Oryctolagus cuniculus: one gene and its partner. The protein of the gene in region 2 interacts with the protein of the main gene of each other region in a pairwise test. Links are inferred from orthologs where the notes say so. Each region holds a gene or a part of one and is shown on either strand. Other genes may lie near its edges. The genes, in order: VAPB and USP20.

The links.
Region 1: the proteins of USP20 (region 2) and VAPB interact in binary tests that used the Homo sapiens proteins (3 or more experiments, as listed by UniProt). The two-hybrid records come from large-scale screens. The link is inferred for Oryctolagus cuniculus from reciprocal best matches to the Homo sapiens genes USP20 and VAPB.

Annotation. Positions count from the first base shown.
Region 1 is NC_091442.1:3,750,923-3,754,725, forward strand, and holds part of VAPB (vesicle-associated membrane protein-associated protein B/C), read right to left. Parts: intron 1,822-3,803; coding exon 1,741-1,821; intron 585-1,740; coding exon 405-584; intron 1-404. UniProt on the Homo sapiens protein: Endoplasmic reticulum (ER)-anchored protein that mediates the formation of contact sites between the ER and endosomes via interaction with FFAT motif-containing proteins such as STARD3 or WDR44.
Region 2 is NC_091432.1:232,706,737-232,709,873, forward strand, and holds the end of USP20 (ubiquitin carboxyl-terminal hydrolase 20), read left to right. Parts: intron 1-675; coding exon 676-747; intron 748-1,275; coding exon 1,276-1,436; 3' UTR 1,437-2,575; downstream 2,576-3,137.

The DNA of each region.
Region 1 (3,803 bases), on a different chromosome or scaffold from region 2:
TGTCTCGGGCACGCGGGGAATGAGCCAGCAGCCTGCAGCTCGCTCCCCTCGCCGTCTTCAGCTTGGAAAGCAGCAGAGGACAGTCAGAGTGGTCTCCACCCCAGCGACTGAGGGGCAGCGGGGCCCGGGAAGCATTCGAAATGACCAATGGCGTCTTACTTTTAGCCTCCAATTTTACTTTCAGTTTTTCCTAAAGCAGCTTTTAAACAGTCGAGAACCTTCTGCTGAGGGGACAGTGGTTCTTCACGCGAGGGGGAGTTCCAGATCCTTCTGAGATCCTGAGGAAGCCAGGAAACCTGCCCCCCGCCCCCCGAGTTAAAATGGACAAAAGGCAAAACCAGGGAGCCTCATCTGGCAGCCAGGCCCTGTGCCCTCCCCTCGCAGACCGTCGGGGGAAGCGGTACCTTGAACTGCCTGTTCTCCTCCTGCAGCCTCTGGACTTCGCCTCGCAGCCTCTTACACTCCTCCATAACCTTCTTCACCTCGGCGTCGTCCACAGAAGAGGTCAGGGATTTAGACGCTGCTGGCGTCTCTGTCTTTGACGCAGCAGCGGAGGATATGATTTTATTCATTTCTACATCATGCTGTTCAGAAATAAACAAAAGCCCATGTGTCACCAACCAGGTAATAGAGGACGTTTTTACACTTCTCAGGAAACACCACCCGCAGCAGCGTTTCATCCACACCGTGAACTGTCACGCTTGGTTCTAAAACGGATCACTGTGTCTAGTAACTTCACAGTCGAAAGCAACAGGGCCCTAGCAATCATGGACAAGGACACACCATGGAGTTTGGCTGAGACCAATACCGCAAAGAGAGAGAGAAGGGCTGTGGATTTTGCACCATCAAATCCTGTCGTGCAAAAATTAGCACAGGGTGACTGTGCAAGCTCCGAAGCCTGAGCCACAGGAGCTGCACACCCCCAGGCCCAGCGGGCAGGGGTGGAGCCCAGGGAGAGGGTGGAACAAGGCTGGCATCTGCAGAGGCTGAGCCCCAGCAACGCCCTGCTGGGAAGGGCTGTGGCCCCTCCTGAGCTCACCGAGGACAGGGCTGGAGTGGGGGCACGCGCGAGTGCTCTGCGGGTCCAGGGGCAAATCACCGTCCTGGGGCACGTCTGGAGACACTCCTGGCTGTCACGACGGGGCACTGCCGGGCACTGCCGGGCACTGCCGGGCTTTAATGAGTGGAGGCCAGGGAGGCTGCTGAACATCCCTCAGCGCTCAGGACGGCACCCCAGCCCGGCCCGGAAGTGCAGCATCCCCACGGTCACCGGCGAGAGGCCAGGAACCCTAACGTGGAAGCAGATGGGGCTGAAAAGGGCAAGCGGGGCCGAGGGGCTGGAGAGGCGGCACTGGGCAGGGGTCCTGGGCACTGCACAGCATCCGCCAAGGACCACGGTAACGGGGAAAGCGGCCCGTGGCTGGGTCTCGTCTGCGGTTTTACCGCCACCTCTAACTCTGCCAAGCCACACGGGCACTCAGGGATTTATGACATTGCCGCAGCCAGCCAACAGGCTGCAGTCCCGAGGGGAAAACTGTCTCCACCAGCTGCCCTTTCACGCGGCCGGGGGCCGCTCTCCGAAAGGCCCACTTGTTTGTTGACCTCAGCTTATTTTTTTCTTCTTCATACATTAGAGGAAGAAAACAATTTGCCAACTTAAATCGAGGTTTTGCAGGAGATGGTATGCAAATAAGCATCAGCTTGCAACATTCAATTTCCATTAACTATCGGTATACTTACTGGTTTATCATTGTCTGCCGGCAATTCAAACACACATCTAAGTTTTGAATCCATAAGGTCCTCCGGTTTTGCCTCCTTCCACTAAAACAATTTAAATTTCATAATCAGGACATTATAAAGCTGCTGGAAGAATAATTTCTTCCTCTAACTGACAATTTCAGAAAAACACTGAATGAGACAGCCCTGATGGTATCAAATACAGAACTGAGTCTGCTGACACTTCAGCATTTTTAACACGACAGGATGAGAAGATGAGACGCGCCAGCTTCCCCGCACACGGACTCCACCCCCGAGGCCTCGCCCCTGACTGCAGCCCGCGCAGCCCGGGCTGGTCTTCGGGGCACAGCTGCAGGACACTGCCGCCCGCTAAGCCCTGGCCGATCTCCAGCACAGGGTCCAGGCGACCAGGGCACGTGAGTGTCTCCTCACGGGGGACGCCCTTCAGGGACAGCTGGCACAGACGTCGGGGAGCGGCTTCGGCAGGGCCCCCGCCACTCCCACCAGCCTGAGGGGGGGTCACGCCCCAGCTTACCGCTGTTCTGAGTTACAGGCCAGCACAACTGCAAGGCCATGACACAGAGAGGAGACAGACCCTCACGCCCACCCCCAACCACCAGGAGGCACCCAGGCAACACCAGTGCCGAGAACCACGACCAGGGAACCGGCTGCCAATGTGATGCCGCAGGGCTGCCAGGCAGGCGACGGCACCGACACCGGAGAGCCCTAGCTTCCAGGGGGCGTCCCGGAACACTGCGCGGAGAAACCGCGCAGCACAGTGCGTGTGCACCCTAAGCACACGTGGGGTCACTGCCGGACGCTGACTCACCGGTGACAGACTGCTGGCCAGCCGCATGGTCTGTGTCTGATGACTCAGAGGATCACGGATCACCAATTAGTCACGGGGGCAAATACTGACACCAGGGGCTGGCAGTGCCAGAGGCACCGCGGCAGGGAGCACCAGTGCCACGACACGCCTCCTCGGGTGAGGGCCACGTGCCACCACCCACAGATACTCCTGCCCAGAACAATGCAGCCTCGACTGGTCACGAGGACGTCGCGGAGGAGCACGGGACACGGGGACACGGGCGTCTGACGAGCCACGCGGCCGCATGCCGACGGCCTGAGAGCAGGGGAAACAAAGTGGGCTGGGGTCCTCCACTGGAACCGAAAGGGCCCAGGGCCGTTTCTGGCCGTAACTCGATGCTGCTGACTGTGGCCCCGTTTACCAGGTAATCACGCTCAGTGAGGCGCCTCCTCGCAGCGAGGACAGCCCCGCTGGGCCACGGAAGCAGCTAGCTGCTCTTGCACGGCCGCACGGAGGGGTGGCGTCCTGATGTCTGCATTCTACACCCAAGTGGCTCGACAGGACAGAAACTTCAGGCGCAGAGGGGCAGGCCACTCAGGACGCCCACGTCCCACTCAGAATGGTGGTGGCGTTCTAGCTTCTCTCCTGCTGACCCAGCTCCCTGCGAATGCTCCTGGGAAGGCAGCGAGTGGCAGCCCAAGTGCCTGGGCCCCTCCTTGTGGGAGCCAGGACAGAGGCCCAGGCTCCTGGCTCCAGCCTGGCCCAGCCTTGGCTGTCGTGGGCATTTGGACAGGGAACTGGGGGAAGGAAGATGTCTGTGCACACACGTGTGTGTGCGTGTGCACGCGTGTGTGTATGTCCCTGTCACTCTGCCTCTCAAATAATCAATCTTTTCTAAAAAGAAAAGAAAGCCTATGACAGAGAGGAAGCAAAGGTGGCAGGATACTAACAAAGGGTCAGTCGAGGCAGCGGCTGTAAGGAGTGGTCAGTGCACTGTGTTTTCACCTTTCTGTGCATCAAAATAAAAACATTTAAAAATAAGGAAAAGCACAAGGCAGTGCTTGCTCTGACCCAGTGTGAAGGAATCACAAATCACTTTCAGTTTGTGTTCATTTGTGTATTTCCAAAATTTCCTGCAGTACATTTTGTCTAAAATTTCTTTTGGACTCATAAAAGTCACAGAGCCTGTGGAGTGACCGTCCACATACATGCAGCACTCAGACAGAACAAGCACCCGGCACACTTAATCCTCGCCGCG
Region 2 (3,137 bases):
GGGGCTTGGGCGCCGGCTCTGACCCCTGGGAGCCGCAGAGGCGGGAACATCCCCGGAGGTCCCAGTAGGAGCAGCAGGGCCGAGCTCCGGCCTGGACGTGGTCGTCCTCGCCAGAGCGTGGCCTGGCAGGCTCGGCAGAGCCAGTGGGTCCCATGCTCAGGGCGCTTGTCCTCAGGAAGGGGCGGGCCCCCACTGCCGCCTGGGCCCGCTGGTCGGAGTGGGCAGCTTTGCCGGCTCCGCCGGGTGGGCGGGTGTGCCGTGGTTGGGAGCCGACGGCCAGAGTCCCGAGCCCGGCCCAGGTGTAGGTGCTGGCCTTGGCCTTCTCCAGCCGCGACCCGAGCCGGACACTTGCCGAGCCCACAGTCTGTCTCTGCACACAGCCCTCGTCTCCCGTGGCTGCTGGGGTTAAATGAGACCGAGGCGCTTGGGGAGGGGCCTGGGCTGGGGCCGCTGCCTGCCCGGGGAGGGCACTGCCTGCCCGGCCGGCTCCGCCCCCCATGCTGGAGTCCCAAACCTGCCGTGGTTCTAGCTGGCTCTGAGGGCGCCCCCGCTGAGTGCGGTGCGGAGCCTCCCTGGAGGGGCTCCCTGGAGGGGCTCCCTGGAGGGGCTCCGCCGCCTGGTGGGGGGGGCGGGGGGCGGGGCCTGGAGGCGCTGAGCCTGAGCCGTCTCTTCCAGAGCCCCCCGGGCCCATCGACAACAGCAGGATCGCGCAGACCAAAGGAGGCGGCCACGTGCAGCTGAAGCAGGGTACGCCCACGGCCGGCGCTGTGTTCTACCCCACCCCACCCCACCCATGCCCCCCGCTGCCCTGCCCCTCCTACCCCACCCTACCCATGGCCCCCCACTGCCCTGCCCCTCCTACCCCACCCCACCCTGCCCCCAGCCCCCTGCTGCCCTGCCCCATCCCCCTACCCCACAGCTCCGCTGCCCAGACCCGTCCTAACCCACCCCACTCCGCCCACGGCCCCCCGGTGCCTGGCCTTGTTCTCCTACCCCTCCACGCCCCCCCACCCCGTCTGGGAGCAGGGTCCCAAGCAGGTCCTCTGGGCCTCAGCTCTCTCCCCCACCTACCTCCTGCGCCCTCTGCCGGCCCGGCCTGGCCTGTGTGCCAGCCCCGCCCGCGGGCAGCAAGGGGCCGCAGCTGCAGACGGTGCTTGGGCTTCTCTGGCCGGGCCTGTGGCCTCCATGTGACCGTGCTGCACTTGAGCCCGTGCTGGGCCTCCCGCCCTCCTGAGCCCCCGGCCCCCGCCCAGGCCTGCCTCTCCCGCCCTGCAGGGGCTGACTATGGGCAGATCTCGGAGGAGACCTGGACCTACCTCAACAGCCTGTACGGAGGTGGCCCCGAGGTCGCCATCCGGCAGAGCGCGGCGCAGCCCCAGGACCCGGACGGCCTACACGGGGAGCAGAAGATCGAGGCCGAGACGCGCGCTGTGTGACGCGGCGGGCCGCCCCTAGGTCACCCTGCCGGGCCCCTCCCTCTCCCGACACCCTCTCGTGTCCCCGAGCTCGCCTCCCACCAGGCTGCTCGGCAGGATCCGCGTGCGGCCCCGGCTGAGCGCCCGGTGTTCCCGCAGGCCGCGTCTGCCCGCGTGCCGGGAGGGCGCCGCGGCCAGGGCTCTGCTTCACCGTGCGAGGCCAGGAAATAGACTCCCTGCAGGCTTGTTTAAGCGACCAGGACTCTGTGACCTTCATTTGACACCAGTCCCAGGCAGCCTTGTGTCCCCCGACCTGCCTCTCGCTAGATCGGGCCCAGCCTTTGTCCCTGGCACCTGACGCCGCCCCCGAGTCAGAGCCTGGGGCCGGGATGGAGCCTGCAGACGTCTTCCGCTGTGCACGGGGCGACGCGGGGAGCCGAGGCGCCGGAAGCCGCAGGTGGGCAGGGCTCCCTGTGCCTGCCCCTGCGGCCTCGCTCACCCCTGCATCTCGGTGTCTCCAGGAAGACCCCAGAGGCCGGCTGCTCCCAGGGTCTCTGTCCTGCAGACAGAGCTTGGACGTGAAGGGGGCGTGGGTTGGACCTCCCACGGTGGGGACGCCCTCCCCGGTCCTGCTGAGCCTGCCCTGCGACTTGCCCCGCTCCTGGGAGAGCCGGCCCGGCCCCGCCCCCAGGGCACCAATGACAAGCAGAAATACCTCAACGTGTCGTCACCTGCTGCCCTCGCGCGCTCGGCCAAGCCTGCCGGGAGCCGTGTCCTGGGGGAGCCGTGTCCTGGGGGAGCCGTGTCCTGGGGGAGCCGGCGAGGATGGGTCCTGAGACCAAGCCCCTCAGCCCGCTGTGGCCTGTCCTGGGGGAGCCGGCGAGGACGGGTCAGGAGGAGGGGTCCTGAGACCAAGCCCCCCAGCCCGCCGTGGCCTTCTCCGTGGAAGCGCCCCCAGGCAGTTGGAGAAGCCCTGAGCCCCCAGTGGGGCGGGGGTGGGGGGGGCGTCCTTCCCAGGGCCTGTTCCTTCCCCGGCCAGCAGGTGGCGTTGCTCGAAGGGCCCCGCCAGCGTTTCCCGTGTTGGAGCGCTGGGAGCCTGGGGTCGCCCCGCGGCCAGTCTGCGCCCAGGCTGTACAATAAACACAGATGCGTTCCCACGGCCCGCACCGCCGTCTGCGCTCACTGCCGCAGCGTCCGTCACGGGGGAGGCCCGCACAGGCCGAGGCTGGGCGAGGGAGGGGCCCCAGCATGGTTGTCTGAGATGGGGGGGGGGGCTCCAGCAGCGCCTCTGGAGGGCAGGGTGCCGCCTGTGGTCCTGCGTCCAGGGCCCACATCAGAGGCCCGGGGTTCGAGCCCTGGCTCCAGCTCCAGACCCCAGCCTCTGGGGGCAGCCAGGGGGCTCCTGCTCCCCCAGGGGAGACTGGATTCAGTTTCTGGTGCTGGGCTTCGGCCCGGCCCGGCCCGGGCAGGGGGGGTGAATGAGTAGACTGGCACACTCCTCTTTCTCTGGCTTCTCCAAAAAAATTCACAAGATGCCTGTGCAGGATGCGGCCGCCCCAGCGCAGCTTCCTGCGTCTGTTCTAACCCAGCGCGAGCGATCGACGCAATCGACCCTGGAGCGCGGTGCTGCCTGGCGCCGAGGCCTCGCGGGCTCTTCCCTTCTTCGCGGTCGGGAGGGGGCTGGGCGCACCGGAAATGGCACCGCTGGGGGCCTGAGAGAGG